Linked DNA regions of Drosophila melanogaster. The protein of the gene in region 4 interacts with the protein of the main gene of each other region in a pairwise test. Each region holds a gene or a part of one and is shown on either strand. Other genes may lie near its edges. The genes, in order: CG4617, Marc, sol and CG13405.

Region 1 (8,157 bases), on a different chromosome or scaffold from region 4:
CGTGCCCATGTGCACGCCCAAAGCTCCAGTCCATGCCATCGGTCCGTGCCGGAGTCTCTGTGAGTCCGTGCGAATACGTTGTCATCCAGTTTTGCAGGGATTCGGATTTCCATGGCCACCGGCTCTCGACTGCGATAAATTTCCGCGAGAGAACAACCACGAGACGATGTGTATGGAAGGTCCCGGTGAATTGCATCAGCCGCAGCAGGAGCAGGATTTGTATGGGCTACCGGGCCAAGGAATACCCGGTGGATTGGGCGGTAAACTGCCCATGGATTGCTCGGGACTGGCCAAATCGCATCTGTACGTAAGGCTACCCAGATCTGGACGCTGTGCACCACTCTGCGAGGCGGACATACTGTTCACACCGGCGGAGAAGCATCTGGCAGAGATCTGGGTCTCCACATGGGCCTATGCCGCTTTGGGTTTGGCCCTGGTAGCCACCGTGTGTCTTTTGGCCAGCGATGGCAGTCGTTTGGCCAGCGCCAAGTGGTCCAGATTGTTGTCGCCGCTGATTTGGTGCCACAACATGGTCACCTTGGGCTGGGCAGTGCGCTTTATGGTGGGAAGAACGGGAACTGCGTGCGGCACGGATCCCCAGGCGCCCAATGAATCCCTACTCACCGTGGACGGACTGTCCAATGCCTCCTGCGCTAGTGTCTTCCTTATGCGCTACTATTTTGGAATGGCCGCCTGCGCTTGGTATTAGATTATAATATATACTTAATATTATAGAAACTATATTCCCATATCCTATTTGTAGGTGGGCTGTGCTCTGTTTGGGCTGGCACCGCGACATTCGTCGGCACAGTCCGGACTCCAAGGGCCATGTGGTCATTCCCTCGAACTTTGGAGGCAGTCCGGCGAAGAGGAACAGTGCCAAGACGGCTCAGCAGGATCTAACGCAAAACAACTTTGTGTGCTTCGTGGCCTGGGGATTGCCGGCCTTTCAAACGTCAGCAGTGATCGTTGCCCGTTTCGTGGATGCTGACGAGTTGCTTGGTGAGATATGCTATAGATCCGCCGGAGAATTCGGAGAGTAACCCAACCATACGCTCTTCTAGGCGCCTGTTTCGTAGGCAATCAGTCGGATAAGGCGCTACAGATATTGGTGGCTACGCCCGTTTTTTGCTACTGGATCTTTGGCTCGATGAATCTGATCTCCGGCTATTTGGTACACTGTCGCACCAAGGAGATCCTGAGGAATAGCAATGCACTCAGCGTGCAACAGCAACTGCAACAGCTAAGCGCACACAGTAGTTCCGGCATTGGCATATTCCTTTTCATCTATGGACTTGCATGTGCCATGCTTCTGTTGGCTGTCATTTACGAGTTTGCCAACATCGATGTCTGGCTGGGATCGGGTGATACCAATACGCCACTTTGGCCATTTTTGTTGCGCGCCTTCATGGAACTGATGCTGGGCATTTGCTGTTTTGCCTGGGTACTTGGACCAAGCATTTCCACTCTCTACAAGAGGCAAGTCAGCAATGGCAAAATGGTGAAGCATACGTCTGCCGGAGCAGCAACTGGACACCTGGACGGGCATAGTAGCTCGCGTGGATCGCATGCGGCTTGCAATAGCACGGTGGTCTCCTACCATTCGGTGCGAACTTCTATGGCCAGTGTTCCGTTGCCGCCAAGTCCGTACAAACTGAAGACTTCGCCTGGTACCGGCTCTATATCGCTGAATCAGATGTCCAACTATTCGCTGGGCAGGAGCGTGCATCACCAGCAGCGCCATTCGCCGCATCATCATCATCACCAGCAGCAGCAGCATCATCAGTTCCATCCCCACCACAATCACCAGCATCACTCCACATCCTCGCATCGGCTGTATTATCCGCCAGGTAGCTATGCCTCGCAAAAGTACAGCCAGCACGGCAGCTACTATCCCCACTTGCAGCAGTATGGCAATGAGACGCTACTCTAGACGGAATTGGATTAGGTACCATTTCAGGGCAGGAAATGCTTCCTGCTTCCAGTCAATGTTCCTGCAGCAGCTGCTGTGCCAAAGTCAATCCTCTACTATAACTTAATGCGGTTTCGGGTATCGAAAGAGGCAAAGCAACTTAAATGGGTGGGGAAACGGTCCAATTTGTTTGTCATAAAACGATCGTGAGATAACGATATCGTTATTTCGATTTTAGTTGCTTTGCCTGTCCATAGAACACAATGGGGTAAACCGATCTATGTACTGTGTATATAACCCCGGAAATGTGCTCTTAGTGCTTTAGTTTGGGCCTTTATCGCGAGGTCATAGGTCATCTACAATGTATTTGTAATTGCCCTAGATGGGCTTCATATCCTATTTTCCTGTGTGTACTTAATGTTGCTCCTAATTAGTTGCCCCTTGCGTTGCCTTTTTACCATTTTGGTGTAACCAAATTCAATAATCGCTCTTGCCTTTTAGACATTAGGACTTAATGTGTGTCGCCTTTGCGTACATAACACATATATACATATATATATTTAGCATTTTTATATAAATTCTTTTTTTTTGAGTTAGAGAGAGAGAGAAACGCGCAGCAACCAAATACTGTGATACGCATGTTCATGTCTTCAAAAACAAAAAAATAAAAATGGGAACCAGAAACTAGGTTTCCAACTTTGCTGTCTTCTCCCGATGCCGAAACAAGTGTACTTAACAATCGAAAAAAAAAAACGCAATTGCAATCGTAGCCGTAATGCCTAATTGTATTCAGTGTGCCATTAGCTTTAGGGACTTAACTGAAACGAGTCAATATCATGAAATTACCTTAAAAGAGTCCTTTTCCAGCAACGAACTTTGGCGGAATTACTGAGGGTTTTCCTTCAACTTCTGCTGATTTTCGCACAGAAAAAGTCCTACTTCTAAATGTCCAACTAACTAGCTAAGAAACTAACTAACCTTTATACAATTGCGGGCTAATACGAATCGTATGGAGCCCGCGACTAACAGTATATGTATTGTATTGTATTGTATTTTATATGTGTATTTTTTTTATTATCATATATGTATATGTATAACTTATTTGCTAGCGAATAAAGTGTCGAAAAGTTAATATCTGTTTTGATTCATTTCGTTTCGCATGGTTTTTACCAAGTAAAAGAGTCTCCAAGTGTCGCCAGTACTCCATGAGCATTTTGTTTCGCCTTCCTGCCAAGAAAATCGCCACCTTGCACAACCCACCTGGCAAGTGGGTGGCCCAGTGGGCGCCTACTGCCGTGTGGGTGGCAAGGTCGCCTCGCTGCGTGTTGGTTCGCATAGGACGATGGTTTCGTTGCGATTGTTGTTGCCGCTGCTGTTGTTGTTGCTGCTACTGGTCGTGGTCGACATGGCCCGCGGGTGCCAATTGTCAAGGTCCTCGTCGCCGTGCTCCTTGGCCCTGTGGTAGTTCTCCAATTCGCTGGCATACTTGCTGCTGGTGATACCAAGCAGGTGGGCCAGCCCACCGCCCACATAGTCGATGCCGGCCAGGAATCGGTTGCCCATCCTGCTGGCCTTGTAACGCAGGCGTGGTCCCAGCGGCATTTCGCTCTAAAAGGTGGCAAAAAAAAAAAAAGCGGGCTAAATGAGTCACGCTAAATGGTCAATGAGGAGGGGGGCGGGGGGTGGCAGCTGCTTATCTTTTTCGTGGCCCTGGGCCCTGTTTGTTTACTTAAACAGCTCAAAACACACATTTTCATTGAAAGATATAAAATTTCTCACATTATTATCATAATTCGCTTCGAACATTAGTCACGTCTCGAGCTCAAAGTGAAAAGTTATTATCTGGATCAGGAGAACTGGGCTAATCTTGAGCAAATTTAACTAACTGTGTTAATCCGGACAATCCCGCTTTAAAAAAGGTAAACAAGCAATGCAGCTACATGACCATGTACTAAATGGATGGCCGGAAGTGCATTACTCCACCCATAATCCTTGCTGAATGTATGTACCTCGTTTAAATGGACGTCGTAGCATTTGTCGCCCATTTCCGCATCCGCCTCGTCCTCGCTGCCCGAGGACAACTCCTCCATGACGCCGTCGCTAAAGTACAGCATGCGCTTGTTGGACTGCAGTTCAAGGGCGCTCACATTGTCCGTCTCGGATGCACTTGCTCCACTCGCAGATGCCAGTTCCAATCCTCCAGCTGCACTGCGTACTTCGCCACTCTTGTTCCTCTCCGCTGACATGGCTATGGATAGCTCTAAACCCGATTAAGTACCGCCTCGATTGATTGACGCTGCGCGAATGTTTTTGCTTGCGCTTGAGCTTCGTTTGAATCGCAGCCGCCGTTTTGGTCATGAAAAAAGCGGACGCGGGTCAACGCCAAATGCGTATACGGCCGGCTGGGGGCCAAAATGTCCTTGGGTTGGGGGCCACCGGCGAAACGACTCACAAACGGCGAGAATCGCGTGCCATGGGGCGCTTGGCGCAGTTAGGTGCAAAGCAAATCGATAAACTAAAAGCCGCTTTCAAACAGCAAAAAAAAAAGTCGAAACAAAACAAAGGTGCGGCAGTGTGACCAGCTGATGGTTTTTGCAAGCTAACTGGATATTAATTTAGATGTATTGTAATAAAAATGAAATTGCAGTCGTATATATCGTAAATGTTTTTGTTTATAAAAATAATTAATAATATAATAAAAAAATTAAGTTGTGCGTGCACATCCTGTGCTTATAATTTAAATAATATAACAATAAAAAATATTATATTATTAAATAATTAAGTTTAATGGTTTCCTACTCTGTACAATTGACTGGTGCAATGGTTATTAACTTAGCAATATATTCAAAAACTAAAATGGTTATCTAGTGTTCCATATTTAACCATCGCTTGCAATGCATCGCGTTTTAAAGCTCTGGTCACACCAAACAGCTGTTTTGTTTGCTTCGTTTAATTCGTTCTTTTTGCAACAAATTGCATCCCAATCTTCCAAAGCAGGTATCCAAACATGGAGTCCCCAACCTCGCACCTGGTGGCCAAGGGTGAGTGGAAAAAGCGGCAGCCGTCAATGGAATCGGGGTCATAAATTCCCAATTAGATTTCCAGGTGACGGGTGTTTCGCGCAGCGGACGCGTACGCAAAAAATCGTCGAAATTGTTGGATTTTGAATCTCCGGATGAGATCGAGAAGCGCACAAGGCGTCACAGTGGCGCCAGACAGCCAGCCAGATATTCGGGCCGCGGCAGGCCATCGAATGCGCTGCGTGATCTGGATCTTGACCAGGAGATGCTCGTGGATGATGGCATTATCTCGGATAGCGAGGAATTCCATCCGGATACAACGGCAACGGTCGTGGCCATTCTGAATTCCGACGATGAACTGGACAATCTGGTGCAGGATATCGTCGATGGTGTCCAGGCGGAGGCCACCAGCCAAGAGTCATCCGTCCGTCAGAGTCTTTACATGCGCGAGAAGTCCAACAAGCGGCAGGTGCTCAAGGACGGCAAGGTGGTGAGTGCCAAGGTGCAGCGCAAGGACAAGGGCAAGCAGCGCTACACCGCCTACAGTCTGTGGGCCAAGGAGGCGCGACAGAAGGATCTCCAGGATCTAGGTAGGTTGCTACACATCTGTGCGCTCTCTATCGCTTATTGACCATTCCCCGCACGCTTGCAGACTTCACCAGCGCGACCAGACGCCTCAGCGAGCTGTGGGCGAACGTTTCCAATCGGGACAAGAACACCTGGCGGCGCAAGGCCAAAATCGAGGCGTCCAGGGCCAAAACTCGCGACAAAACCGCTGCAAACGGTGCAACCCAGCCGGCGAGCAACGGCAGCACGGCTCTGGCAGATGCCACGCAGCACGAGACGATCTTTCAGAACCGTGCGACAACAAGTCGCACTCGAAAACTGGCCGCCGATCGGCAGCAATCCTCAATAGAAGCGGCTGCCGCAGCGGCGGCAGCAGCAGCGACTGGCACCAACACACAGCGGCGCAGCATCAGCACACGAAGTGCCAGGTCGCAGGTCTCGAAGAGCGCGACGAAACAAGCGCAAGTGCACACGGATGCGGACGTCAGCGGCCGGACTGGGGGTCAGCTGAAGCAGGAGGAGGTGCAAAAGACCAGCATCGAAGTGATCGATGCGGCCGCACATCTGAAGCTGCTCGGCGAGAGCCTGACTGTGATTGGCGAGCGACTGAAGAAGCACAATGGATACGTGGCGCTATCGGGCAGCTTGTCCGTGCTCCTCGACAGCCTGCTCTGCGCCATGGGACCGCTGCTCTGCATGACCACGCAAATACCCGGCATGGAGAACAATGTGCAGTTGAGCAAAAATCTGGCCGACACGCTCGACAACATCGCCTACGTAATGCCCGGACTATGAAGTAAATTCCGGATTGCAACTGCAAATGCATACATATATATATATATATAATCATACCAGGCCGCTGCGCTTCCAGCGGCGACTAGAGTCGCCATCGGGATCTGTATGTTTGTAAGGAGTTGGCCAACCTGGAAATAGTTAATCGCATTAGATATGCCTAGTTGATAAACTGAAGCATCTAGATCGTAAGTAAAAGGTCTCCCTCTAATTGAGTTTTTTTTTTATTTGCTTCTTGAATTGAAATTCGTACGCTAAAAAGTTTAGTAGTTCACTTATTTATTTCCACTTTTTGTTTTTTGCAACATTTAAGCACAAATCATCGAAACATTGGTAGAATTAGGCAACATTAAATATCCTATAATCCTTAAGTGAAATAAATGTGAATCACAAGATTCTTATTTCAGCTTCAAATTAAGCAGGCACTTTTTATAATAAACGTAATAAATAAAGATAAATATAAAAGCTAAAAATATGAGATGATTTCTTCCTCTGCCCAAAAATCTTTATAAAAGTGAAATATTTTTAAAAATGATCTCAAATAAGCCATAATTGAAGGTTCGAATAGTGGAACTATAAGCTAGATATAAACTTTAAATATTTATAAATACGTTAATTATTTGCTTACTTTCTAGAGATGGCACTTCGCTGGTGCGCCATCGATGACTTGGCTTGCCGTTACAACGGCGAGCTATCGATGTTACATCGCCGCCCTGCCCACCACTAGCCAGTCCGCGGAAAGTAAATAAGAAGACGGACGCCAAATCGAATCTTCCCACATCCCCGGATGCAGTGCAGCAAGCTCTGGGTCCCTGAGAATCCTGCGTGGGCCTGGGATTCCGAATCCTCTTCCGCCCCGGATCCGCACGTCAGCGCGGCATCCGCATCCGCCACCGCTTCCGCCCACGCACAGCATCCGCAGCCACATCCGCGGCAGCAAAAAAACGGTGAGTTTTCCACCTGCATTTTTTTTTGGATTTTCCGGGGGGGGGGGGGGCAGCAGCTGTGATTGGGATGGAAAATACTTGTGTAGGTGGACGGTCAGGTTGTAGGGGCGAATTGCGTGACGGCAGCGCTACAAATTGGATTAGTGCGGCGATTGATTCTGAATGGGAGATGTAAACAATCTTCCTGTGCACTGAGAAAAATAACATGGTAAAGCAAGGCACAAAAAAAGATGGAAAGATTGGTTGAATAAGATAAAATAGGTTTAAGACTAAGCTGAAATATCATTAGCCAAAAAACATGAATGTGAAATGAATTACTTTAAAGGATTCTTAAGCACAATTTGTTTAGAAAATAAATTCGATTCAGTAACTGTTAAATTCAAAGCTTAAAAAGAAATGGAATACCTTGCGATTTGCAGTCCAGACATTTTCTCGCAGTGCACTAGCTCCCCGCCCGCTGTTTTGTAATTGGCAATATAAGGAATGCCCGAGGTATCTATTTTTATACCGCTTAGCATAGTCGTTATGGTGATAAATTCCGAAGGGGGGGTGGGGGGTTTGTTCGTTATGCTTTTCAACCCCGTGACCTCCCACCGCGCCCAATGGGGCATACTTTTGGGGGCGCCGGGAACTGGGAGGTGTTTTAATTCCACCATCGTTGGTTTATTGAAAAGTTGTCATAACTCAGAACAGACAAGCCAGCAAAGTTTCGAGTCCTCTCAATTGCGGGCAAATACAGGCAGATCTTAAAACTATAATGTTTCATTAAATTCACGCCGTCATTGAATCGAATATCGTGTTTTCCCGTTGGTAACTATCTAGATATATGAACTAATTTAAAAGGAAAACTCAAGGTTTTTATGTAAAACGAACGCGTGGTTTTTCTAGCAGCTCATTTTCATTTCAATTGAACTTTAAG
Region 2 (7,758 bases), on a different chromosome or scaffold from region 4:
GAGTATTTGGGCGCCCCAAAAGTGGACACTTCCGACGTGCGAAATGGAAGAAAATCCAATCCACCGAAGTGGCATTAATTGCGCCCGTGAATATTTACGTAGTTTACACGTGCTGCGAGCGCATGATCTGCTCTGATCGTGAATGCGGTAAGAGCCCGGTTATCTGTTTATTTGCTCGGCAAACGGCAACAACTTGGAGTTGACTCACTGTTTTGTTTATTTGCTCAGCCCAATGGGTCAGCTTTGCGGGACAATTGCTTTAGCCAGACCTATTTACCTTATTTACTCGGTTGTTCAATAAGTAGAAGATTACTTTACGACAGCGGCTATTACGGCTTATTTATAGAAAAGTTATTATTCGTCCCCAATAACAAGCGATTTTCAACTGGCTTTCGAACTGAATATTAACGAAAGGTATAGGAATTAATTATTATTATTATTATTTGAGTATTTAAGCTGATATTATATATTATCATATCTTAAAATATAGCATCCAATTGGTTACTTCATACTCTGTTATAAAGAGAAACTTACTATTTTCAAGTTGCTTTCAAAAAAGAATATAAAGTTCACTGTCATCAAAACTAACATCAATATTGTATAAAATTGATTTAATTGGTTAAACCTATTTATCAAGTCTTGTCGGATTCTTAAAGTATGCTATTTTTACAATTGTAATTGTCACGAGCAATTTTTGACAATTGTCCTCATAAACTAGATAGTAAATGTTAATGATTTAAAAAATAGGAATAAATGACGTAAATTTATAAATTTGAAAGCACTTATCTCAAGTTGACTTTCCGTGGTTTTCCAAAGACTATTCTCAAGTACGTCAGTAAAGATAAAAGTCATTAGGTAGGGGATTTTCAATACAGTAAAGCTTCTATTGGGTATTTCCCTCATGATACAGAGAGTATTTTTAAAATAAAACAATCACACAAGTGTATTTACTGCAATTGAAACCCGATCTTTGATTTTGAACATATTCGGGGCTTCCTATATTAGAGGTCGCATAAACATAATCACTAGAGTTCCCCGAATGATATCAACACACGAAGCCATATCGGCGTGATAACTACGTCCGACGCCGAAACTTTATGACCTGGTGCTATTTGATTATTTCGCCGATAGAGGGAGCAAAGTGTATTTGCCATTTACACGATTACGATTCTGTGGATGTGGGTGTGGGTGTGGATGTGGATGCCCTAATGCGAGGGCTTCCGCACGAAGGCGACCGACCCATTTCCCCCCGGTGGCCGTGAAAATCTCGGGGGAGTGGCAGCGGGATGTGGCCGAGTGGATTCGAATCCGAGCCGAACCAAACCACACCGAACCGAAGCGAGTGGAGGGGGAAAAGCTGTTTAACCTGTGCGCGCGGGGAGTGGCCTGGCCCCAAAACGGAATGAATGCCCCATATACATGCTGCCCGGTCATCAGAAGCCTGGAAAACTGGTAACTCGGCACAGAGAAAAAATCCAGCAGATATAGGTCATCGATTTGGAAGTTATCCACAAAAATCTCAGAGGCTCAAATCATGTTCGCGTCTTTAAAATGCGCCACTTAGTGGTTCTAACAGTTGGAGAATCGCGTTTATGTAACTAGAATATTAAGTAAGCAAATAAACGAATAAAATACTTCAGTATTACAAGTGCACGTTATCCAATTTATCCGACTTTATCATTAAGAGATCGTAATGTTTTAGAACATGGAATAATTAGAATGTCGAGTAAAATTAATGTAGTTTAATTCGAACTGATATGTATATTTTGATAGCTCCTTCTGTGTCGACCTGTTTTTACCATCTAGCAAAGGAATCCAGTTTTTGGCCAATTAATCGATGTGCTAATTTACTGGGAGATCAGAATGCAGAGCTGCAGAACAGAACTCCATAGAAGTCGCCATATCTCCACTGCCAGCTGCGCAGGCGGTGTTTGCACATCGTTACAATTACAATTAGCCCGTCGAGTGCTTTACTTTAATGATCTATTTGCGAGCGCGGTTGAATAACACGCTAATTGACAGCCAACACAAACGAACGTGCACTTGAGCCGGAGTCGCAGTCCAAGTGGGAATCCGATGGGGGATTCGCAACCTTGACAAAGAAAATTTCTAATTAACGGCGCTTGCCAATTTGCGTACACTGCGCGAAAAAGGAAACAGCGACACGCACAAAAGCGGCGCACGCAGTTCGTTAAAAACTTATTCATTTCTAGCAATTAAGCCATAATGGCGATAGTTAACAAATTGGGTCGCTGGCGCTCCGAGCAAAGAACCCAAATTCTGGCCACTGCGTGATCTGCGAGTGGCTAATCGCAAATGGCAAAAATGGCAAATAATGTGGACGAAAGAAAACACATTGATTGGCTTGATTATGCACAATAAACCGGAGTCGGTGACTTTTGTCAGCTTTCCATTCGCTTATGGTAAATTGCTGGGCGCTACTGCCAATTAAAATAGAAATTGTTGACCAGCCGAAAAGTCTGTCGTCGTTTGCTTTGCATAAAAAATTAAATCTTCAACACACAAACGAAACATACGAATTGTTATTGCTGTTGCTTTTTTTGCTGCTGCTGTTGTTGCTGCTTCTGCTGCACGCGGTGTAAAACTTTCGAATCCGCTGGCTTTGTATCGTATGGGATCGGATCGGATCGTATCGTATCGGATTGGATCGGATGGGATCGGAAACGTTTGGATAGAGCAAAAACGCTCTGCACAGGCGCGTAACGTGTTTTCGACTGAGCTCGGGATCGCGACTGCGCCAACAGCAGTTCCGAAAGCAGCAGCGACGCTCCAAGCAGCAACAGTCCCAGTTTTAATGAATGAAAGCGCAAGTTTTTACCGCTTTGTCAGGCCAACAATATGCACTTTTTGTGCGTAAGGCAACAAAGCCCGTCCTTTGAGTTCACACACAAAAGAAGAGCAAAACAAAGCGAAAACAAAAATTGCTTTTTGGCCGAGTGTCGTCTGCCATTTGAATTCGAATAAGACGTGCAACTACCTATCGATAAGTCTATGGCCCAAGTCGAATTTTCCAACACTTGCGCTTGTAAATGAGAATACTTATCGGAAAACAAATCGTACCTGAAAACGATACTTAGTTCATAAAATGTGTAGTTTTCGGAATAAATTGCATGCAGATTCTAAGGACATGATACCAAAACACTCAAATAAGAAGCATTATGTAGAAAGTGCACGCGTATACATGAGAAGTGACTCCTCAATTTTAATCAAATGCTGCCTTTGTAATGTGGACACTTTTGGCGGTGACAAATGGAAGGAATTCATGAAGCACCTGGTTCAAAGGCATGGAAACGAAAGTGGATTTAATGCAGATGAGGATGAGATCCAGGACGAGGTTCAGGTGGAGATGACCAATCTCTTGGCGGCGTCTATTGCTCAGGAATCCAAGTTGGCGGAGGTACAGGAATCTTTCAAAAATGTAGAATTTATGGAAGAGGAGGTGGAACCAAACTTTTCACCAGAGAAAGAGCAGGGCCATGATGAGCTCGCAAGCAATAGCCACCATGTAAGCAGCCTTGGTTATTAATGACACTTGCTTGACTTCGATTCTTTGATTTCCACAGGACTACATCTCGAACCAACCCCACAAAGCCTTCTACAGCCTGCAGCGCACCAGCCCCGGAGTTATTCAGTACTTCATACAGCAACTGCGGAGACACAAATTCTTCTGGATAACTGAGCACGGGATCAATAAAAAAGATCGCATGGATAGTTCCCAAAAAGTGGCAGAGGCCCTGTTCCATCGATTTCACTTCCAGTTGGACCCAAAGGTGGTCAATGCCAGTGCCCGTTTCCTGCAAGTCTGGTTTGAGCGACAGTATGTAATGCAGTTGAGCAGCTCCGACTTCCGCTGTCGCTATCCAAAGTACTACCACAGTTTGCTGAAATTCATGCCCACGAACCACATATCAGTGACCATTTGCGAGGAGTGCGACCGACGGTTTCTTAACGAGCGCCTGCTACGGCTGCACAAATTCCGCGTCCATGGGGGACCCAATCCGAATGTTTGTCATGTGTGCCACCAGAGCTTTCCACTCGCCTCCAAGCTAGAACAACACCAGGCACGGTACCACTTTAAGCGGCCGGAGTGGCAATGCAGCAGATGCGATTACAATGCACCTTCCAAGTGGGACTTCCAACAGCACCAGGCCATGCACGCGGGGCAAAGGAACTATATCTGCGAGCTGTGCGGGCACAGCTCGAAGACCAGCTCCGCCCTGGCCGTTCATCGGCGAACTCACGACCAACCGAAACTATGTTGTCCGCACTGCAGCCGGCAATTTCGAGAGAATAGCACCTTGAAGAGTCACATCCGGAAAATTCACGACGGTAACAGTGCGCGGCAGGTCTCCTGCGACTTTTGCTGGCGGAGATTCAAGACGCTGGAGTTGCTGAAGCTTCATAAACTGGTTCACCTCCAAAGCGAAGAAATGGAATCATATGAGGACGATGATCCAGAGGAATTGAACAGATTCGTTAGTTAAGTACGTTTCGAAAAATATAAAATAGTAGTTTAAATTTCTTTAAAAGTAAAACGATTTCAAACCTTAAATGGAAATATATCATATAACTTAATTTGTATACATTGTAGCGTAACTTAATTATATATATCAATAATTTACATATATTCTTAGCTACTTTAATAGAGACTGCTGTAGTTTTTTAAGTAGAACCCTACGCGATTTTTATCTGAGGTGACTTTTAATAAGCTATACACTATTTTGTTGGTATTAAACTAACTAGAACCACATTCTCGCCGCGTATTAAAATCTGTGGGAGCTCTCGCCGAATCTCCACGTTTTTTCGGTTTAGATTTTTGACTACAGTCCTGGGAAGAGTGATACCCAACTCCTTGAGGCGGCCTGTGCAATCAACAGGTGTGTCGCATATGTTTTGCTCTCCGTAATTGTACTTTCGTCGCTTCCAGGTTTCGGTAACATTCCTCAGTAGGAGGTTCCACTGCTTGTCAAAGGCCAACAGTTCACCCTCGACACTGCCGCCCACCGATCCGTGTTTGCGAATCACCACCCGAACTCTTCTCCTTTCGTTGGATTCATTGTGGCTAGCAGGGGATATACACTTCGTTAGGAGTTCCAATGGACCGACAGCTGCCTCCATGTAGGTGAAAATATTTCGATGATGCTTCTTTCTGCTACTAGTGGTAGGCATCTGGTGCGGCTCAAAACGTCGCTCAGGAGGTAGAATATCTACAGCCTCGGAAGTGGAAGCCTTTTTCGATGTCCCCTGATCTCCTCCTTCTGCGGATCCCGGCTTTTGGCGCTTGTTCAGCTGCCAGATGCCGAATTTTTTAAGTGCACTCTCGAAGGCAGCCAGATTCTGGTAGATGACCTTTGGAACAGCATCGGTCACCCTAAAATTGGGTTCGTATAACGCTCGCAGAGGATTAAACCTATCACTGCCCACATCCAATTCGGAGATTTCCGACGAGTCGTCCTCATTCGAAGTTTTCCGGTCCCTCGATTCCATGACACTGATTCCCGAAGTCTGCCGATAGAAGTCTGATAGAACAAAGAACCTTAAATTTTTTTCTTTTTCCGCTTAAAAGGCAACAGGCTTCTTGCAATTGTTATGTAAACAAAGGAGCACGAATTCGCCGGCTGCATGCCCGATAACAGTTATCGATTAACCTGGAGGGAGCGGGGATGGTAATTTAAAAATAAATGTATTAAGTCTACCCTATCACTGAAAAATAGCACTAAGAACCAGGTTACATTCCTTATCATCAGTTGCTACTGTCAAAATGACCGCTGATATACATAGATGCATGTGTTGTCCAGCCTTGGTAAGAGATCTTCATCAAAGGAGAGCTTTTTGTCCAATAAACCTAATCAGTGGAGCTTTTGACTCAGAGAAAGCAACAAGTGTTACAGCGCAAAGGAGATGGCAAGTGAGTGAAAAACCGGGATTAGCTGGGAGATCCTTAAGTAACGTGGATTATCCTGCAGCCGGCGGAAATAACTCGACCTTTGACCTCAGTCCCAAGACCCTGGCGGCCGTGGGCGTGGGCCTGGTGGCGGTGGGCGGGGCTAGCTTCCTACTGTACCGCCATCTGACCCGCGATGTGGTTCCCCAAAAGTGGCGACGCGTGGGCACCGTGGAGAGGATACACTTTTTTCCGGTCAAGTCCTGTGCCCCTATGGACATCTCGAAGCCCGGAGTGGAGTACGACTGCGATGTACTGAGCATGTCCTTTGAGGGAATAAGGGATCGCACCTTGATGGTGGTCAATGAAAAGAACGAAATGATCACGGCTCGGGTGTATCCGCTTATGACCCAGATCAAGTCGAAGAAGGTGTCGCCCAGCAAGCTTGTGTTCAGCGCCCAGGACATGCCAGACCTGGAGCTGGACTTCGAGAAGCTGGACGGTCCTGGCAAGGATGTGAAAACTTCCGTTTGGGGCGTTTCCATAGACGTGATGCCCTGCGGAGATCGGATCAACACGTGGTTCTCCCAGGCCATCCTGAAGAAGGAGAGCGGCCTCAAGCTAGTTCACTATCCCTATCCGAAACCAGTGAGATGCACCAATCCCCGCCTAAAGTCCATGCCATTCATTAGACAGGAGGACTCGGTATGTTCCTGATGCGCAATTCGAAGTGTTAGGACCCAGATCACCCTTGATTTGAATTCTTTCCATAGGGCACTTTTAACGATGCCACCAGCTTTATGCTGATGAACCTTTCGTCGGTCGCCGATCTTAATACTCGGTTAAAGAATCCGGTGGATGCACTGCAGTTCCGAGGTAACTTCGAACTGAAAATGGATGTTGATGAGCCCTATGCCGAGGACAATTGGCAGTGGGTGCGTATAGGCGAAGATGCTGTTTTCCGTACGGTGGCGCCATGCACTCGCTGTATTTTTACCAACATTAATGCGAAGACCGCAGAGAGGAGTTCCGAAGGAGAGCCTCTCAAAACGCTCAGAAGGTGAGTCACTACCCATGGAAATATCTGAGAAGTACGACTTACAAAACCCGACCCTCATATCTGGAATCCACAGCTATCGCTTGTTCAACTACAGTTCGCCGGCTCTGGGCGTTCATATGGGACTTCGGCTGCCGGGAAAGGTGAAGGCCAACGACGTCGTGTATGTGGAGGACAAGTGAATATTCCATTATCTCTTCTAACACTTTATCCGGTATACATTGAAGTTTATTACATAGAACATAGATGAGAGTACTGTAGAGTTTTATATGCAAATATACATGTGTTATGAGCCTATAACAATATAAACAACTTTAAAGCTTGTCCTAAACACAGGACTGCCAAGCGAGGCCACCACAGGCCATGCTCACAATCACGTAAACGATGAAGGTTATCACCAGACCCACCACCACGTAGACGCGGATGTTCTTCCAAAACATTTGACGAGCCAAATTTCGGGAGGCCTTACGGAATGCAACGGACTGTAAGAGAGATCAAATGAAAAACACATTTAAAAGTCTCTGCTTGGCATCACCTTACATTATTGCTCAAGTTTTCGGTCTTGTTGACGAGCAGCTCTAGTTTCTCGCCGCGATCCCGCAAGCTGTCTGCAAATGGGATGAAAAGGGAATAGTAAACAAAAAGAACATACGGATTTTCCTTCCTTCATACCAATATTCTTAACCATAATGTCTTTAAGCTCGTCAATCTGACCATGTACTCGCGAAATGGTGTCCACCTCCCGGGACTGACTGAAATAGACCATCTGCTGGGCCAGGATCTTGGAGAACTCGGT
Region 3 (8,844 bases), on a different chromosome or scaffold from region 4:
AAAGTTCGGCAGAGGTATGTATATCTCCCCACTGTGCATTTGTCACACGTCCAGGATCGAGTGGTCCTCGATGTGTGTCCGTTTAGGAATAAGGCGCTTCCCACTTGAGGCGCAATCCAGAAACAGATTGGTACTTCCACTAGAGGCTCTGATTGTTTTCAATATTCAAGAGAAGAGAAGAGAAGATATATCGACCACTAATAGATTATAGATGCATAGTTATAGACAAACACTATTTGCAATTGGCTCCGCGGCATTTCTTTTTTAATCTTCCTTACCTTACACATTTTTGTACCTATAACTTCGCGAGCTACTTGCAATCGTAGAGTTTAGGCCACCCAACCGACCTGCAACTGCTTCTAATTACATTTCACATCTCACAGGTCAGATGCAGGCGGCTTTCGAGGACGCTGCCTTCAAATTGAACGTCAACCAGCTGTCGGGCATCGTCGACAGCGACTCCGGCCTGCACATCATCCTGCGCAAGGCATAGACTCATCGAGCACCGACCCACAGCACAACTCGCGTCCCTTCACATGAATAAAACGGAATGCCCAGCCATTTCAATATAGAATTATTTATTGTATTTTAAAATGTTAGGTCTTGTCTAGGCTAGAAGCGTTTCTCATTTGCCAATGTCCAGTTTGGCGGCCAGTAGCTTGGCTCCGGGCGTCTTACGGTCCGCGAGTATCTGGCTAAGGCTCCTCTCCGCCGCGATGGCTTTCTTGCAGTCGTCCAGCAGTGCGGGACACTCCTCCACCAGCTTGAGCAGGACAAAACAGGCCCGGTTGACGCCCAGCCAGGCTTTCAGCTGAAAAGGGAAAGGGAATCGCAATTAGGAATTGGAATCTGAGTGAAGCTGTTTACTTTGCGACTACTTATTTATTAGACTAAAGCTAAAGGAATGTCGAAACGTCATTAAATAAAAGAAAAAACTCAAAAGTACGATGCGTTTCTCATGACTGGGAAAAAGGAAGATACCCTCGGTTACCGGATGGCATGATTTTTGGGTACTTACCACATCGGAGGACAAGTTTTGGAGTAGCTGTTGGCTGAACGGGGTGCCCTCTCGCTTGCCATCGTTCTTGAGTATCTTCTTCAATACAATGTGCATGCCGGCCTCCTCGATTCCGGAGACCAACGGAGCCGCCGGCTCCTCCTCCTTTGCCTTTGGCTTTTTGGGCTCCTTTTTGGCTTTCTTCACCTTGGGTTCGGCATCATCTGCGGCCGCCTCCTTCTGCTCCTTCTCGTCTCCTTCATCGTCGCTCTCCTCATCTTCATCTTCATCTTCATCTTCGTCGTCGCTGCTGCTCTCGACATAAAGCAGTTTTCTGCGCTGTTTGGTGGCCTGGGCTATAATGGCCTCCACGTCATTGTGAGGCTTCTTCTTATCCTGCGGCTGCGGACCGGCGGCGTCTGCTGAAATGCGCCACTCCGGTTGGACGACGACTTGGGCAAGGGCCGAAGCAGCCTTCTCATAGGACTCGCCTTGAACTAAAAGGCAGAGATGCAAACGTACATTAATATCGTGAACATATTCTTGTAAATCCATATGTATGTTTCTGCTATGGCTTTCAGAAGTGTGCACTTACTGTGATTAAGAATATCGCCGGTGACCAGGCCGATGTGGCTGTTGGACAGCCAAAAGGCGGCATCCTCGGCGATGGACTGTGCAATCGGCGCCTCTATCTGCTCAAGGATCTCCTTGCGACGCAGCTCCTTCTCCTTTTTTCCAAAGGCTAGACCCTCCTCCACCGTGCGAATGAACTCTGGATGGAAGCATGTCGTATCACCCGGAGCCACCAGCCATTGAATCACTCGTCGGCCGTACGGGCTGCTCATTAGCGCCTTTAGATCTCCGTGTAGGTGATCGTAAATTGCCTTCTTGGTCGCCTTAGTGTCGTCCAGTGCGTTTAGCAGCGAGATGAGGAACACGTGGCCGTGCTCATGGTTGGCGATCTTTAGCAGGTGCTCCTTGATATTCTTGATAATGGCCTGAAGAAGGGGTTAGAATACATATAAGATTCTGTTTCATCAACACACGTTATACGTGATCCACTTACTCTGCGATTCTTGGGCGTCGACTTGTAGAAGCATATAACAGCCGCCTCGCTGCCCTCCTTGGTGGACAGCATGTGAGGCACTAGAGCCGCAAACGCAGTGACCGTCTCCTCCAGCTTCTCCTCATCTTCGTCGCAGGCGCGCAGGTACTCCAGCATCACGGCGTGCACCAGCGCACTGTCCACCAGCTGCTTGTTGGCCACATGATCCAGGTTTGCTTTAACCGACCCCAAAATGGAGGCCTTCATGTTCGTGGCCTCCTTATAGGTGTCGCTCAGAGTCTTCACATTCGAATCCTTGGCCTTCCGGTACAGATCGCCGTAGAACTCCTGGCGCATATAGATGCGCTGATTGGGTGTGGCGCTCTGATACATCGAATCCAGCAGCCCACTGCCGATGCTGTGTCCGGCCAAACGCACTATATGTCCGTACAGGCTGTCCACCAGCTTGGCTTTGGTGGCTGGCGCACCGTACTTGAGCATCCGTTGCACGCAGAACTGGGCGTATTTCGACTGGCACATCTCCACGGTGAAGGGAAGCAGCTTCTCAGAGATCTCGGCCCGCAGAGCTGGCGACGCGTACTTTAGCATGCTCTGGATCACGCGGGCGGTGTCGTGGGCCTTCACCACCTTTGAAATAGTGTCGCCCACGTTGAGCACCTTGTATATCTGCTCCACCAGCTTGTCCTTGTTCTCCGTTCGGCGGCTGCAAGACAAGCACCAAATTATGTTGATATATATATATCAGAGCAATAGGATTTGCGCATTCATTAGTTGTAATTTTACGAAAAAAAAAAAAAACGCGACAGAGGATAGAGCTGGTTTGTTTATGACCAAACAAAACAGCATGCGCTAAATAGGCGTCTTTGGAATCTACGCTCTTGGTTCTAACTCAACATTTATACAGAAATACAAGGCTATATTAACTTAGTTTTGATACTGATCAAAATGCTTAACTAGCTATTATTGTTTCAAGAACATGAATAAAATGTTTGGTGTTTTTGAATTCGAACCAAGTGGCAATGTTCGGTTTTTCCACGAACAGGTGCTTCGTTTTGGGATCCACATGGCCATGTTTATCGATATCTTGTCCTTTAAGGAACCAAAATGACTTATAATTATTAAAACTATATCGTATAGATTGATGCCTTATGAAATTTAAACAACTTTGTACGTTCTGAATGTACATAAGTGCATGAAAGAGCCCGATTTTGTTGAGCTATCATAATTTGTATAGGTAATTTGAGCGCTAAGGATGATAATAACCGATTGTTTGGGCTGTTCATCGTGTTTTTGGGGATGCTCACCATCGCAACTTCTCGTGGATCTGGTTGGCCTCCTTGCTGATCTCGTAGGTGTCCTTGGCACTCTTGCGCTTCAGCTTGAGGTCCTTCTTCTCCTTCTTGAACTTGTTCCAGTCCTGTTTCTCGCCCTCCGCCGGCGCCTGTGGCTGTGTTTGTGGTTTTCCGCGGAACTTGTTGCCACCAAGCCTCTTGTCGCCGGTGGCTCCGGATTTGTCAAACTTCTTGAAGCCACCGGGCCCAGACTTGTCGAACTTCTTGGCACCACCAGCGCCTGGCTTTACAAACGACTTGCCTGCTCCTCCGCCGAATTTGTCGAACTTCCTGGCGCCTCCTGCTCCACCGGGCTTAAACTTCTGTCCGTTGGCGCGCTTGCCGGACGATTCATGGGCCTTGAGGGGCGAGGCCGTGTTGGCCACGTTAGCAGGTCCTTTCGGCTCCGAGCTAACCATCTTTGCTGCGTTTTCTTGGACACTACAACTAAATAACAGCAAATGTTTTTGCCAAAAAAGCGAACTACACGTGCTGCTGATGCAGAGTGACCAGATTGTTGCAGTATACCCAAGCTGTGTAAATACCAAAATCTGGTATTTTCGTTCCACATACAGTAAGTATCAATGAAGTGCTTCTATTTGTTTAAAATTTAACTCAAGTTAATGCGTTCAGTTCAATTTGACTTTCCATTTGAAAGCGGCTAAAAAATAATAATCCATGTCTAAATATTAAATTTAAACTCTTCCTAAACTAAGCTCCTCAATGTTGATTACTTGTTATAGAAGGTCAAATAATTTTATGCATGTATTTGCGTCGTTTTATGAATATATGTATGTATTCATTCCCAAAAACATATTAGAATTGGTCTAAAAATTGAAGGTACCGATTTTTCATTAACGGCACTTGCCAACACTGGCTTTGCGGGGTAGCAGCCGTGTTTCTCGCGCTGGCAACCCTGTCCGGCAGAGTTCACGCACTCGGGCAACCTTGTCGTTGGAGGTGTTCGCGAACGTCGACAACCCTAGCGGCAACAGTTAAAAAATGGTGTGAAACGGCGACGGAGAACGCGGCGTGCAACTGTTGGAAGCCACTGCTTGGTCCTCGTTTTGGTCCCGGGTTCTGGTCCTCCTATTGATCTCCATCTCCGCCCGGCCACCAGCTCGAAAGCGCACCTACACATCATAGTTTCCATAGACAGTCCCAGTTCCACATCCACTCCCCCGCCAGCCAGCCAACAACAACAAAAACAACAACAGCAAGAGAAACAACTCAGAAGTCGAAAGGAATCTGGGAACTCCTGCGACTCCCCCGCGCAATGGGCACCATCTCATCCGTGCTGCAGTGGTCGTGCACCAAATGTAACACTATCAATCCCACGGAGTCGCTCAAGTGCTTCAATTGCGGCACCGTCCGCAAGGTGTTCCCCCAACAACAGCAGCAGCAGCATCGCAGCAGCAGCATCACCGCCTCCTGGACAGCTGATGATGCACTGGAGCAGGAGCAGGCGGAGAAGGGGCAGGAGAGGGACAAGGAGAAGGGCAGGGCGGCGGTTGCCAGGTAAGCGAAGCGGTCGCCACAAAAACAAACAGCCTGTATGCCTCCTCTGCGAGGATGTGCCTGTGTGTGTCTGTGTCTGTATGCGTGTGTGTGTGTGTGTATGTGGGCGCCAGTGGTGGCATCCAATTGGAGGACAAAAGCGCTAGCTAAAATCATGTCGCATATGGTAATGTGTATAGAAATCGGTGGCGTTTTCAAATCCAACTTTTTTCGCACACACATTGTATGCACACTTTGGAAAATATACAAATACACAAATATGTACATACTTTCATCGGTAAAATTCGTCAATCAAAAACCTTAACTTTCAAAGAATAATAATACCAAAAGCTTACCAACGTAAGCTCCTATGCTGAACTTTAATATCCAAAGAGCAGACCGAGTAAATCTTAGTAAATTTTATAGTTCTCACTAACCCTTTTGTGCATAATGAAACTTAAAGAATAAGAAAACAATGAAATCGGTTAGGAAAATCCTGATTAACTATCCATAGGAATAACTCGAATGGGAGTATAGGAATAAGTTGAAAGATTTTTATATTACGAACTTAAGTTTCGAAAGGCTAGGAAAAGGTACAGTGTGTACAAGTACACAGTTCAAAAGTCTAGCTTTAAAAGCCAAGCCGTCGGCACTGGTGATTGTCCCTGAGCGTGTGTGTGTGTGTGTGTGTGTGTGTGCGCGAGTGTGTGTATGTGAGAGCATGTATACACAGCAGAGGCAGAAGCAACAACAAAACAGCCGAGGAGCAGCGAGAATTGGGGAAAATCGATTTGGATAAAGAAGCATTGTTTACAAGTTTATCGATTCGCGAACTCGCTCGGCGATCTGAAGAGCAAAAGAGGTGTAGGAACAACTTCCGAGTCGAGCGGACGAGCGGAGAGTAGGAAAATGGCCAGTCATTGAGATAACCTTTGCGGTCAGGAAGTGGGGAAAGCCCAAACAGCTCAAGAACACCGAATCCCATCCAAACCCGACGAAAAACGAAAAACCCCATTTCCCTATTTTGCAGGAGCGAGTACAAGCATGTGTACAAGTCCCTGCTGCGCGGATGCTTGAAAAGACCACAGCGGAACAGCCAGAATCTGCCCGCCAACTGCGTGGATTGCGAGGACACGCGCAAGTACATCAAGAGCTCTATTGAGCTGTACCGCCACTTCTCGAATCCGGCCCTGAATCGGCGGTGGGTGTGCCACGCCTGCGGCACGGACAACAGCTCGGTCACCTGGCACTGCCTCATCTGCGACACGGTCAGCTATCTGGCGCCCATTTACAAGGACGCCATCGCCGCCGACCGAGGCCAGGATCTGGCTGGCAGCCTGGGCAATCGCGGCGAGCTGCTGGCGGCGGACCATTCACATCCACATCATCATCACCACTACCTCCACCAGGAACTGGAGGAGCAGCATCAGCATCAGTTACATTCCCAGCACTTGCATAAGCGCCACCTCAAAGGTAGATCTGCATCCGGATCGGGATCCGGACCGGGCTCGGGTTCTGGACTGCGCCGCACCCAGAGCCTGAGCACCGCTATCGACAAGAGCGCTTCCGGGCGCAGCTGCCACATTTGCTATGCGAACAACCAGAGCAAGGACATCTTCAATCTGCCGCAGATCAAGCCGGCGCCGCAGCTGACAGGTGCGTTCATCAGCTAACGAACTAATGAAAGGTTAAAGGTTACTTGAGGAAATAACTATAAGGTATTCTTATTGGCCAGCCTATCGTTTCCAAATTTTTACTAGAAGAAACTCTTTAAATGGACAACCGAATTATTTAAAGTCTATTCTCTTTTTGTAAAGTTCTTAATCTTAGTCAGATCATGATGAAAGTGTTAGCTTCCCATAACCGGAATGCACGCACTTGTTATCCGATAATCCAATTCTAATCCCTATGTGTTTCTCGCAGGGATTCCCCCCGTGGCCGCCTGCAGCAACTCCCGTTTTGCCATCGCCAACGACACTTTTTGCAGGCGCAAACAGAACAACAATAACAAGAACCAGAATCACAAGGTGGTTCGCGAGAGCGGTGCCAAGCGGAAGTACAACTTTACCATCACCACGCTCTCTCGGTCGGCGGCCAAGGATGCCGGCCATGGCCAAATGAAGCCACTGCGTCAGGTCGTTAATCTAAATCTGAATCTACAGCAGGAGCCGCAGCAGAAGTCACCGGCTAATCCGCAGCAGCTGCAGCGGAAAACCCAGCGGGAGCCAGCAGCAGTGAGTATGAATCCCACGCAGTTCACCATTCCGCGGAACGGCGTCTTCATAGCCGTCAACGAGTGGTCGGAGCCAATGGCCAGCAGCTCCTCCGTCTCCTCTAGCTCCAACCATCATCATCACCATCACAGCAACAGCAATAGCAATAGCAGCGGTAACAGCAACATCATCAACAACAACAGCAGCAGCTCCAGCGGCAGCAACAAGTTGTATGAGAACGAATGCGTGGCCCTGGCCCAGCAGCAACTAAGAGCAGCTGCTGCGCAGGCGGCACAGGCAGCCGCGACGGCGGTGGCCATTGCGAGTTCGCCATCAGCTAAGGCTATGGCCGAACCAGCTCCAACGGCTACCATGCCCATCTATGCGCAGGTGAACAAGCAGCACAAGCTCAAGAAGAAGCAACAGATTGCCAGCGAATCGCAAACGAACAACAACACTGGCAGTGGCGAGATCGCGGATGCGGTCAGTGAATCCCTTACCGCCGGACTAGGCACTAGCACCGATGGCAGCGGCGAGGCCAGCGAATCCGAGTCGCAGGTGGAGGAGCACTCCATCTACGCCAAAGTGTGGAAGGGACCGCGCAAGGCGACCGAGTCGAAAATGTAATTGGCAGCTAGCGTGCGACCGAGATTAGTCCACACCCATCCAACTTCCTATCCCCCGCAGAAGCTTATCAGTTGGCTACGTTTTTATTTTTGCTGATAATTTGCGTGGCGCTTAGTCACTGCGGCCTTCTGTTTGTATTTCGCCCGTCCACCAGCTTTTATTTTTATTCTGCCCGCTATAAGTTCAGTTGTATTATTTAAGCAAATTGTTTATGGGCATGATTTAAATTAATGATTGGCTTGCCACAAGATTGTCACAACTTGGTTGAGGTAATTAATTCATTCGCAATCGTGCTGATCTCGGCTATGACAATCTGTGGTTCAAGTGTTCAATTTAATTACATTTTGATTTCGCCTATCTCCCGTGTTGAATCAATTTTGAACTTGACTGCATTACAATTGATGGTCTTGCTTTCGATTTGCAGTATGCATGATCCAGGGAGCAGCAGCCGCCTATCAGGAGCCGCATCCGCAGCAGCAGGGACCGCGTCAGCTGGAGCTATAGCTGCAGCCGTAGGAGCAGCTGCTGCCTCGCGGCACGACAATAAGACACAGCTTGGCAACGGCAGCCGCAGTAAGATGTGGATATGCATCAAATGTTCCTATGCCTACAACCGACTCTGGCTCCAGACTTGCGAGATGTGCGAGGCCAAAGCCGAACAGCAGCAACAGCAGTTGCAGCTGCAACAGCAGCAGCAGCAGCAGCAGCAGCACCACCACCACCACTTGCAGCAGCAACAGGCAGGTGTGTCATCAGTTTTCAGGAAATAATGTAATGCTTGTGCTATATCAAATACCTAATGCATTCCAGAAGCACCCCGCGACGAGCCATGGACCTGCAAGAAGTGCACCCTGGTTAACTACTCGACAGCAATGGCCTGCGTGGTGTGCGGCGGCTCCAAGCTGAAAAGCATCTCTTCCATCGAGGACATGACGTTGCGAAAGGGCGAGTTCTGGACCTGCAGCCACTGTACGCTCAAGAACTCGCTGCACTCGCCGGTCTGCAGTGCCTGCAAGTCCCACCGCCAGCCGCAGCTCTCGATGGCCATGGAGGCGGTACGGGAGCGACCGGATGGTCAGTCGTACGAGGAGCAGGATGCTGCAGCCGTCGGGG
Region 4 (7,616 bases):
TCCCAAGATATCAACAATGTGTCCTCCCTTTTTCCGATTCCCCGTTGTCATTTTTTGGCTCGTAAAATGCACGTTTGCATGGCCAATCCGTGGGGGTAGATGTCCACGTGTGGTAATATGAACTTTAAGAACTGTTATATGAAAGGGAACTATCCAAATGTCTACTGGTTAAAACTAATACTGGGAGTTTAATTTTATTCGAATCTGCATTATGCTTTTATTTTAATTATTGATTAATTTATGCTAGTCTATGATCATTTCGAATAATTTATCCTGTGCCTATATTAAGTGCACTATTGATGCCCCTTTCATCATGAAAGGGTGATGAAAGAAGCCAACACACCCCAGATATTGCAGAATAACGAATTTTTTATATTTGATTTGAATTTAGTTAATTAGGTAAGTTAGTTGAGCATAAGCCAGCTGACACTTGTATTCCGTCTGTATCTCCAGCTGCAAACCCCCTACTGACACACTTATATACCTGCGTTCCTCGAGGGCGAATGCAGTTGCCACAGGGAAAGGGGCTTGTGTGGCTGAAGGGGTGTGGACTGTGAGATTGCTGTGACCCAAATTCATTTAAAAATCGATCGATTTTACCCTTGCTGCTTTCTATGTCACTCTCTCTCAATTGCTGTGTTTCGCTCTAGCAAAAAAGGAGAAGTAAATAGTAAAAATATACTATATAATTATATAATTCGACGGTTGCTCTGCTACTCTCCTCCTGTTTTCCTTACTTTCCTATCGGTCCCTGTTACGACTAAGTATACTTTTTTTTTAATCTTTTACTAAAAGCATATGCTTTCCCTGTCCTTTTTTTCTTTCAGGCTTGCCAAGAAATAATTTGTATTATTTAACATGTTCGCTTTATTTTTAAAGTAAAAGGGTATACAAGATTCGTTAAAATGTATGTAAGATTTAAAAGGAAGCGTTTCCAACTATATAAAGTAGATATGCACATATATTGTTGATCAGGATCACTAGTCGAGTCGATCGGGGTATGTCTGCCTGTATGAACGCTGATCTCGTGAACTACAATATGAAAGCTAGTCTGTTGAGACTAGATATGCAGATTTTAGTGTCGTCTAAACCGTGCAAGATTGCTTCAAAACGTTGCACAACTGACTACAAACACACAAAAACTGTCACGCCCACACTTTTGAAAAATGTTTTGTTTTTTTTCTTCGTTGACATATTTCTAACGATGCGGCAAAAAAAAAAGACACAAACCCCAAAAGGCTATCACGTCCACAATTGGAAAATTTATAGAATTTATAAATTTATGATTTTATTTATTATCTTTGCAATTTGTATCGGTATGCCATTAAAATTTTTAAATATTTTACTATGTTGCGATGTTTCGGCAAATATAAAATATTACGTTTCGTCGAAAAAGTTGTTGGAATGGATGCAACGTTTTCTTACACAGATAATCTTAATTTATATTAAAATGTATTTCAATATTCCCATGATTTTGACTATTGGGAAAAATGTAGGAAAGTAATTTCTTCTACACTTCTGTCGGCCACAAAAGTAACAACATTCTGGTGAATTTCTGTAGTTATTGCAGCGTCGCTGACGTTAGAAAAACGCATTACTATGTCGCAAGAGTGACATTTCAACGCAGTCAACAGGACACTTTTCATGGACACACATCTAATCTCTTACACTCGCCAAAATCCTACGCCGGAACATTTTTTAATTCTGTTCCTCAGAAAATAAACTTTGTTTTTAATGTTCAACATGTGGTAACTGATGAGTTTTATATATATGTCAAGCGGAATTATATATTTGGATTTAAACACGAGATAGTTTTTTTTTTTTTTTGTGAGCAGCCTTGTCTTATTGAGTCCAGTTGACTGGTACTGCAGCATTCCTTGACATTAAAGTTACGAAGTGGTTTATTGCCACCCGTGATGCTAACAGCAATTTTTACCCCCAGTTCATCATGTGGAATTACAACGCATTTATTTACTTTGTTTACATCACTTATTATTGTTGTTAATATTGGTATTGCAATGTGTTTGTTTTTTTGTTTGCCCTTTTTTTGTGCAAAAATTGATTTTTCTTCTGGGTCTGCCCCGCTCACATTTCCACCTCCTCCCTTCGCTGCCATCCCTTGAGCGTGTCAGAGTTCATCATTACGCCCGTCTAATGTCAAAGATTGTCAACCTTCGCTGAGCGGTTGTGTTTAAATATTACAAATACGACATGTTGTCATGCCACATGAAGACCGGCTTACTAGAAAGGGCGGTCTCAACAAACCCTATTCTCACACCATCACACGACTTTTTTATTACGTCCCCTTTTAAATTATGCTCTGTGAATGGGAATGATTAAAATAATAACAAAAAAGGAAATCAAGCGACGAAATAATATACTGAGTTGACAATACGTTTAAGAGGCCATTTTAAAATAAAAGTTTACCAGGACAGAGAGAGTAGAGTGCCTCGACTACAAGATACCTCTCACTCAGGTGATAATCGGGGTGGCAACTCACTGAAACAAACTGCGACAGCATACGCTGCGGAAGGAAAATGCACAATAAATGGAAATAGAAAAGTTTAATTGAAACTCATTCAAAAAAAAAAAAAAAACAATCAAAGCATGCTAAGGATCTCTATATCTGAAACAGATGCTCTCTACAAAATAGTTGCAGTGAAAAATGGCAAGAGAGTGGGCAAAGAAAAGCGCAGAAGGAGAAAGGCTTCATGATGAAGGATGCTTGTTGTTTGCTGCAGTTAAATTAAATGAAAAAGTTTAAAACTTTTTTAATGAAACCATTTTATTCAGTAGAGGCATAAACAAAAAAACAGTCCCCATTCCGTTGTAACAATAGCACAAAAAAGATGCAAGACAAAGGAAAACAAAAGTCTGAGCGGAAGAAAAACTTGATGCAACTTGCATGGTCTGAAAGGAATCAAAAAAAAAAAAAAAAAAAAAAGAATAAAATGTCCCAATAAAAATCAAAATATGTATGAGACTTAAAGGGGGTGGCCTATGCTTGCTTTCAACTTTGTAAATTAAATTGCCCGTTATTTGATTTAAAATGGGCGGCGCAGTCTTTTTGAGCTTAAGTGACGTATGCGTAATCTGAATGGGGAGCTAATCGAAAAGCCACCTTGATACGGACGATAAAACCCATAGGCTCTGGCTATGGGTGTTCGCTTCTAATGCAACTGTCGCTTTCAGGGACTCGCAAGCAATTGGTAATTACGCCAAAAATTAAACAGGGACGTAATCAAGAAAACATCAAGGATAAAAGCTTAAGCTTGGACCAAACAAGGTGCTTATTATTTAATTAAGTAAATTCAAATAAATTAAATTAAATAAATAAATAAATTTAAATTTGTATATCCCTATATCGACATATTCAATTTCTTTGCTAAACATTGTTCTCTACATTTTTGTCTTTCATTGCACACAACTTTGCAGGTACATTTTGCGTACATATTGTGCATTCCTATTATGCCATTCAATGCACCAGTTTGATATTAAAACAGCAACTTGTGTCGCTGGGCCAGTTATCAAATACATACCCTTTCTTTCCTGGCTTACAGGTTGTAATCTGTTAGAATTCACGTCTTAACTACCGGTAGTACGATGAAACGACCCTGCTGCGAGATAAACATTATGCCAAATTAAAATGCATTCTGTAGTTTCTATAATTAATGCGAACGCATGCCGTCGAGTGGTGCGCTTTGAAACGTAATCCACCGGATCCAGCCACAAGAAATCACTGAGTCAATAAAAGCGTGAAATAAGAGAGATGAGATTGTAGAAGGAATGAAGTTAACGGCGCAACAGCTATCATGATGGCAGAAGAACAATAAATCGTATATGAAAAGATCTAATAACGAGGGAAACGGAAACGGAAGTTATTGAAGTGCTAAAAAAAATGGCGAACTGAAATAATAAAAGTAGTTGTTGTGTGCAGTAAACTGAGATTTTACTGGCTCTAAGGTGTGGAGTTTTATGTTTACGTTTGTCGATCACATGATAAATCTACTACAACAATTTGTATTTGATTTATATATCAAAATTTGGTTTATTAAAGTATTTCATAATTATGTAAACTAATACCCCTGCATCGCTTAATACAATTTATCCCTAACATCCGAAGCAATGTCTGATGTGGAGCAAGAAGCCTCTGGAGACGTTGATAATGAGCAAAATGAAGGACAAGAAGCTGCTGAAGATTTTGAGGGAGAGGGCGAAGGAGACGAACAGGACGTTGAAGAGGAAGATAAGTTCGAGGTGGAGGAGAAGGATCCCTTTGAGCTCCTCAATGAGAGCGATGAAGACGATGAAGAGCAACAGGCAATGTACAAGGAGTATCAGGAGGTGGTCAACGCTATTGATGCGCAGAACAGGATTATAAAAGAGCTCAAGGCAAAGTCCAATCGACTGATGTTCAAGAAGTGCAAGACTTATAGAGACAAGCAGGAATACAAACAACTTAGGGTCTGTCAGGAGCATGAGGAGATCCATTTAAAGGTTCTCGTGAATAGAGCCATGCACCTCCAAAACTTCGGTTCACCTAGGCGCTACAGAGATATAGAAATGGAAGTCACAGAGGACGAGAAGAGCTACTTTTATACTGAACTACAATCGACCTTATCAGGCTTTTGTCCCACGGATTCGGCTGACGAATATGAGTCGGATTCTGAATCGGATAATGGACTATGTTGTACCTAGTTTCCTAGCGGAGTTTCCGAAAATTGACGGGGAAAAGTTATGAAAATACTTGAATAATTGTGGAATATCTTCATATTTTACATATATACATATCTACACATATCAACGACACTGCACTCAATAAAATGGGAAAGGATGGAGGGAATGTGAATAAAAAATGCAAGAAAATTTCAATAAAATGCAAGTAAATGCAAAATTTAATTTAATCCCTCGATTTCTAAAATATCTGCCTAGCACTTCTTTTAGCTGGGTTTAATAGTCAAGAGTCCAGACGTGGAGTAGCCAAATAGCGGGAAAGTGTAGAGCAATAGCAATAAGCGCAAAAACAAGACGATTGTGCCCCCAGACAGAATAAGGGGATCAAAGCAAAACAGCCATAAACAAATAACCGAAGAGGCACAGAAAGACGCCAGTAGACGAGAATGAATCGAAACGAACTGAATTGAACCAAAACTTCTCTCGATGATTTCTTCGTTCCCTCCTCCTTCTTTTATTATGCCTCAATTCTCACTCTCCGCCAAGTGCCACGCCCATTGTGGCGCTTGATGGGGAACACTTCGCAAAAACGAGATAGTTTGACGTTTTCTACACAACTGGTCACTGTTTAAATTTTATTTACATTTAGAAAGATTTGGAGAAAAGTGAAATGTAAATTATTTCGATTAAAAGATAATTTATGTGGACTTGCAACTTAGAAATTTATGGTTTAACCCTAAGGTGGAAAATTCAAAAGCGCGATTTTAGAAGGGGAATGTTGTCGGCGCCAAATTCGCCAACCCAATGTGCAGAAGCAGCGGCTTCGACCGCGTTGCGACGTCACCTTGCGTCCATTCACCCCGTTCATCATTGTTTATGAGTGTGTGCCCAGACACAAAAACAAGCACACATTAACGTATACAGCAAAATTCCTTTAACTGTGCTTCGATTCCATTCCATTTTCCATCTGGTTCTGTTTCTGTTTTTTGGACCTCTGCCTTGGGTCTTCTGTTCATGTCTCTTCGCCCCCCCCCCCCCCCCCCACCCAATTCTCCAACCCTACTGCGTTCTCCCGCTTGTTGTTATTGCACTGTCTGCGGCTTGGGTATTTTTTACGCGCCTGTGCTCCATTCCACGTTCCCAGTCTCCCCGTCTCGTTCCAACAACCTTGGTATATATCTTCGCCGCCCAAAAAAAGTGTGCGAAAAATACTCTAGGAAGATTCAGAATCGCGGAGTCGGATCTAGGAGAGTCGTAATTATTCATGTTTTTTTTTTTAGATACATGTATGTATGTATGTATGTATAACGTGTATGTATGTATGTATAACGTTGGCGAGCAAGTGAAACGGAAACACAATAAGAAGAAGAAAAAAGAATCAAGGTGTCATGCCCCTCCAGAACAAGCTTCAGTGGAAGGGCGAGCAGATGGAAAAAGAATTGCGTCTCGTGTTCATTTTTTTTTTTGTGTGGATATAGACTTTCGCTGGTGGGTCACAAACACAACCACTTATGAACCCTTTAAACCGATAAGTGTCACTCACATTTTCACTAGAAACGTAAATTCCGTATCGTTCTATTTTAGAGCTGGTATGTTTCGGTTCCAACAAATAATTTTCTAAATTAATTTCGCATAAAAAGTGCCAACCAATGCCAGCAACACACACAGGCGCCATAGTATGTAGGCGGTGGAGAGGTTCACAAATGTCACATTCTTAATCGCAACAGCAACAGCACTGTCTGAGGGTCAAAGTTCAGAGACACGTACATTTTTGTTGAGTGGATGGGTCGGACGGAGCCGAAGAGCAATAATGGCTGTCGTCTGGCAGAAAGGCTTTGCCCCCAACCAAAGCACTTAGTACAGAAGTGGAATACAGTCGTCGTCTTCTATGTCTAGGTTTGCGCACTGAATAAGTAAAACAATCACTATAATTTTTCCCGGTTATCGACAGCTTCACACGTGTGATATAAGGGATATTAACTCATTCTGAATTATTCGAAGTTGAATTCAGTGTTGTTTTTTTATATTTAAAAAATTTGACTTGGAAAGATATTATGTGCGATCATAGGACGTTCCAGTAATATGTCCTCTTTCAGCAGCAGTTAATGCTTTCGTTCTGCTTTTCTTGATAGAGTTACTGATCCCGTTGGCAAAAAGGACATTGAACTGCACCTGCATTGGGCTTCCCTGCCACACATATAAATAATCCCGACAACGGGAAAACAAATAAACAAACAAAAAGCAGTCGGAGATGCTTTCAACTTCACCGCCTGCGTCGATGATGATGATTACGGTGGAGCAGGTGCAAAACTACACATGAAAGGCAGGTGCACAAATTTTAGTAAAGTATACGGCCAACGAGAAGGAGAGCCACTAACTGGTCTTACAACAGACAGCGGACTTTGTTCTCATTTTCATACTTTTGGGGTAGACGTTTACGTTTAAATACATCGGTTTTTAAGAGTTAAGGGAGACTTTCGTTTGATTGCAGTGGGAGTGGAGTCCTTTATTGGGCTCGTCCTTGTCACTAAATATTTAGTGACGTAACGTATCCAGTTGCAGGCAGCTGCTAGCTACGGCGAACAGATAATTACGGAATTATTTCAATTTGTCATGATTTTAAATGAACCCCACGCTTTTTGTAACATAACCATACTATACTAACCCCATACCAGTTAAAGTAAACCGCTAATACTCAGATTGTTCACTATAGTTTGACAATGCTTTTTGTCTATGTTTTGGATGCCCAATCTGTCTGTCTACAGCATCCAGCCAATGTTTTCTAAGCTCGAGGCAGACTTTTGCTGGAGGAGCGGTATAGGTGGTAAAAATTTAACGATTTGTTTTGTCTGCTGTTCTGATTTCTATGCTTCTGCCGCGTTGCCCTCGTCAAATTTGCAATGTCAATGACGTCGGCTTCTCCCTCTTCTTTTGCTACCCGT

Evidence for each region.
Region 1: the proteins of CG13405 (region 4) and CG4617 interact in a two-hybrid assay, tested with the Drosophila melanogaster proteins (one large-scale study listed by BioGRID).
Region 2: the proteins of CG13405 (region 4) and Marc interact in a two-hybrid assay, tested with the Drosophila melanogaster proteins (one large-scale study listed by BioGRID).
Region 3: the proteins of CG13405 (region 4) and sol interact in a two-hybrid assay, tested with the Drosophila melanogaster proteins (one large-scale study listed by BioGRID).

The regions. Positions count from the first base shown.
Region 1 is NC_004354.4:7,101,157-7,109,313, reverse strand, and holds CG4617 (uncharacterized protein), read left to right. Parts: upstream 1-4,822; 5' UTR 4,823-4,919; coding exon 4,920-4,953; intron 4,954-5,009; coding exon 5,010-5,522; intron 5,523-5,584; coding exon 5,585-6,294; 3' UTR 6,295-6,479; exon of another isoform or gene 6,480-6,604; 3' UTR 6,605-6,759; downstream 6,760-8,157. Other genes in the region: fz4 (frizzled 4), read left to right, coding at 1-702, 764-1,002, 1,065-1,933; CG8300 (uncharacterized protein), read right to left, coding at 3,200-3,520, 3,922-4,158.
Region 2 is NT_033778.4:9,833,906-9,841,663, forward strand, and holds Marc (mitochondrial amidoxime reducing component), read left to right. Parts: upstream 1-5,870; 5' UTR 5,871-5,922; coding exon 5,923-5,929; intron 5,930-5,987; coding exon 5,988-6,610; intron 6,611-6,678; coding exon 6,679-6,965; intron 6,966-7,038; coding exon 7,039-7,144; 3' UTR 7,145-7,258; downstream 7,259-7,758. Other genes in the region: CG1663 (uncharacterized protein), read left to right, coding at 3,284-3,526, 3,585-4,505; Lsm11, read right to left, coding at 4,738-5,508; Vamp7 (Vesicle-associated membrane protein 7), read right to left, coding at 7,289-7,444, 7,503-7,570, 7,635-7,758.
Region 3 is NC_004354.4:21,345,939-21,354,782, forward strand, and holds the start of sol (small optic lobes), read left to right. Parts: upstream 1-4,341; 5' UTR 4,342-4,670; coding exon 4,671-4,912; intron 4,913-5,696; exon of another isoform or gene 5,697-5,823; coding exon of another isoform or gene 5,824-5,828; intron 5,829-5,921; coding exon 5,922-6,547; intron 6,548-6,814; coding exon 6,815-7,727; intron 7,728-8,155; coding exon 8,156-8,475; intron 8,476-8,541; coding exon 8,542-8,844. Other genes in the region: dod (dodo), read left to right, coding at 1-14, 384-493; peng (penguin), read right to left, coding at 626-811, 1,019-1,494, 1,593-1,995, 2,064-2,766, 3,368-3,813. UniProt on the Drosophila melanogaster protein: Has a role in eye development. Calcium-regulated non-lysosomal thiol-protease.
Region 4 is NT_037436.4:71,720-79,335, reverse strand, and holds CG13405 (uncharacterized protein), read left to right. Parts: upstream 1-4,003; 5' UTR 4,004-4,125; coding exon 4,126-4,698; 3' UTR 4,699-4,882; intron 4,883-4,944; 3' UTR 4,945-5,391; downstream 5,392-7,616.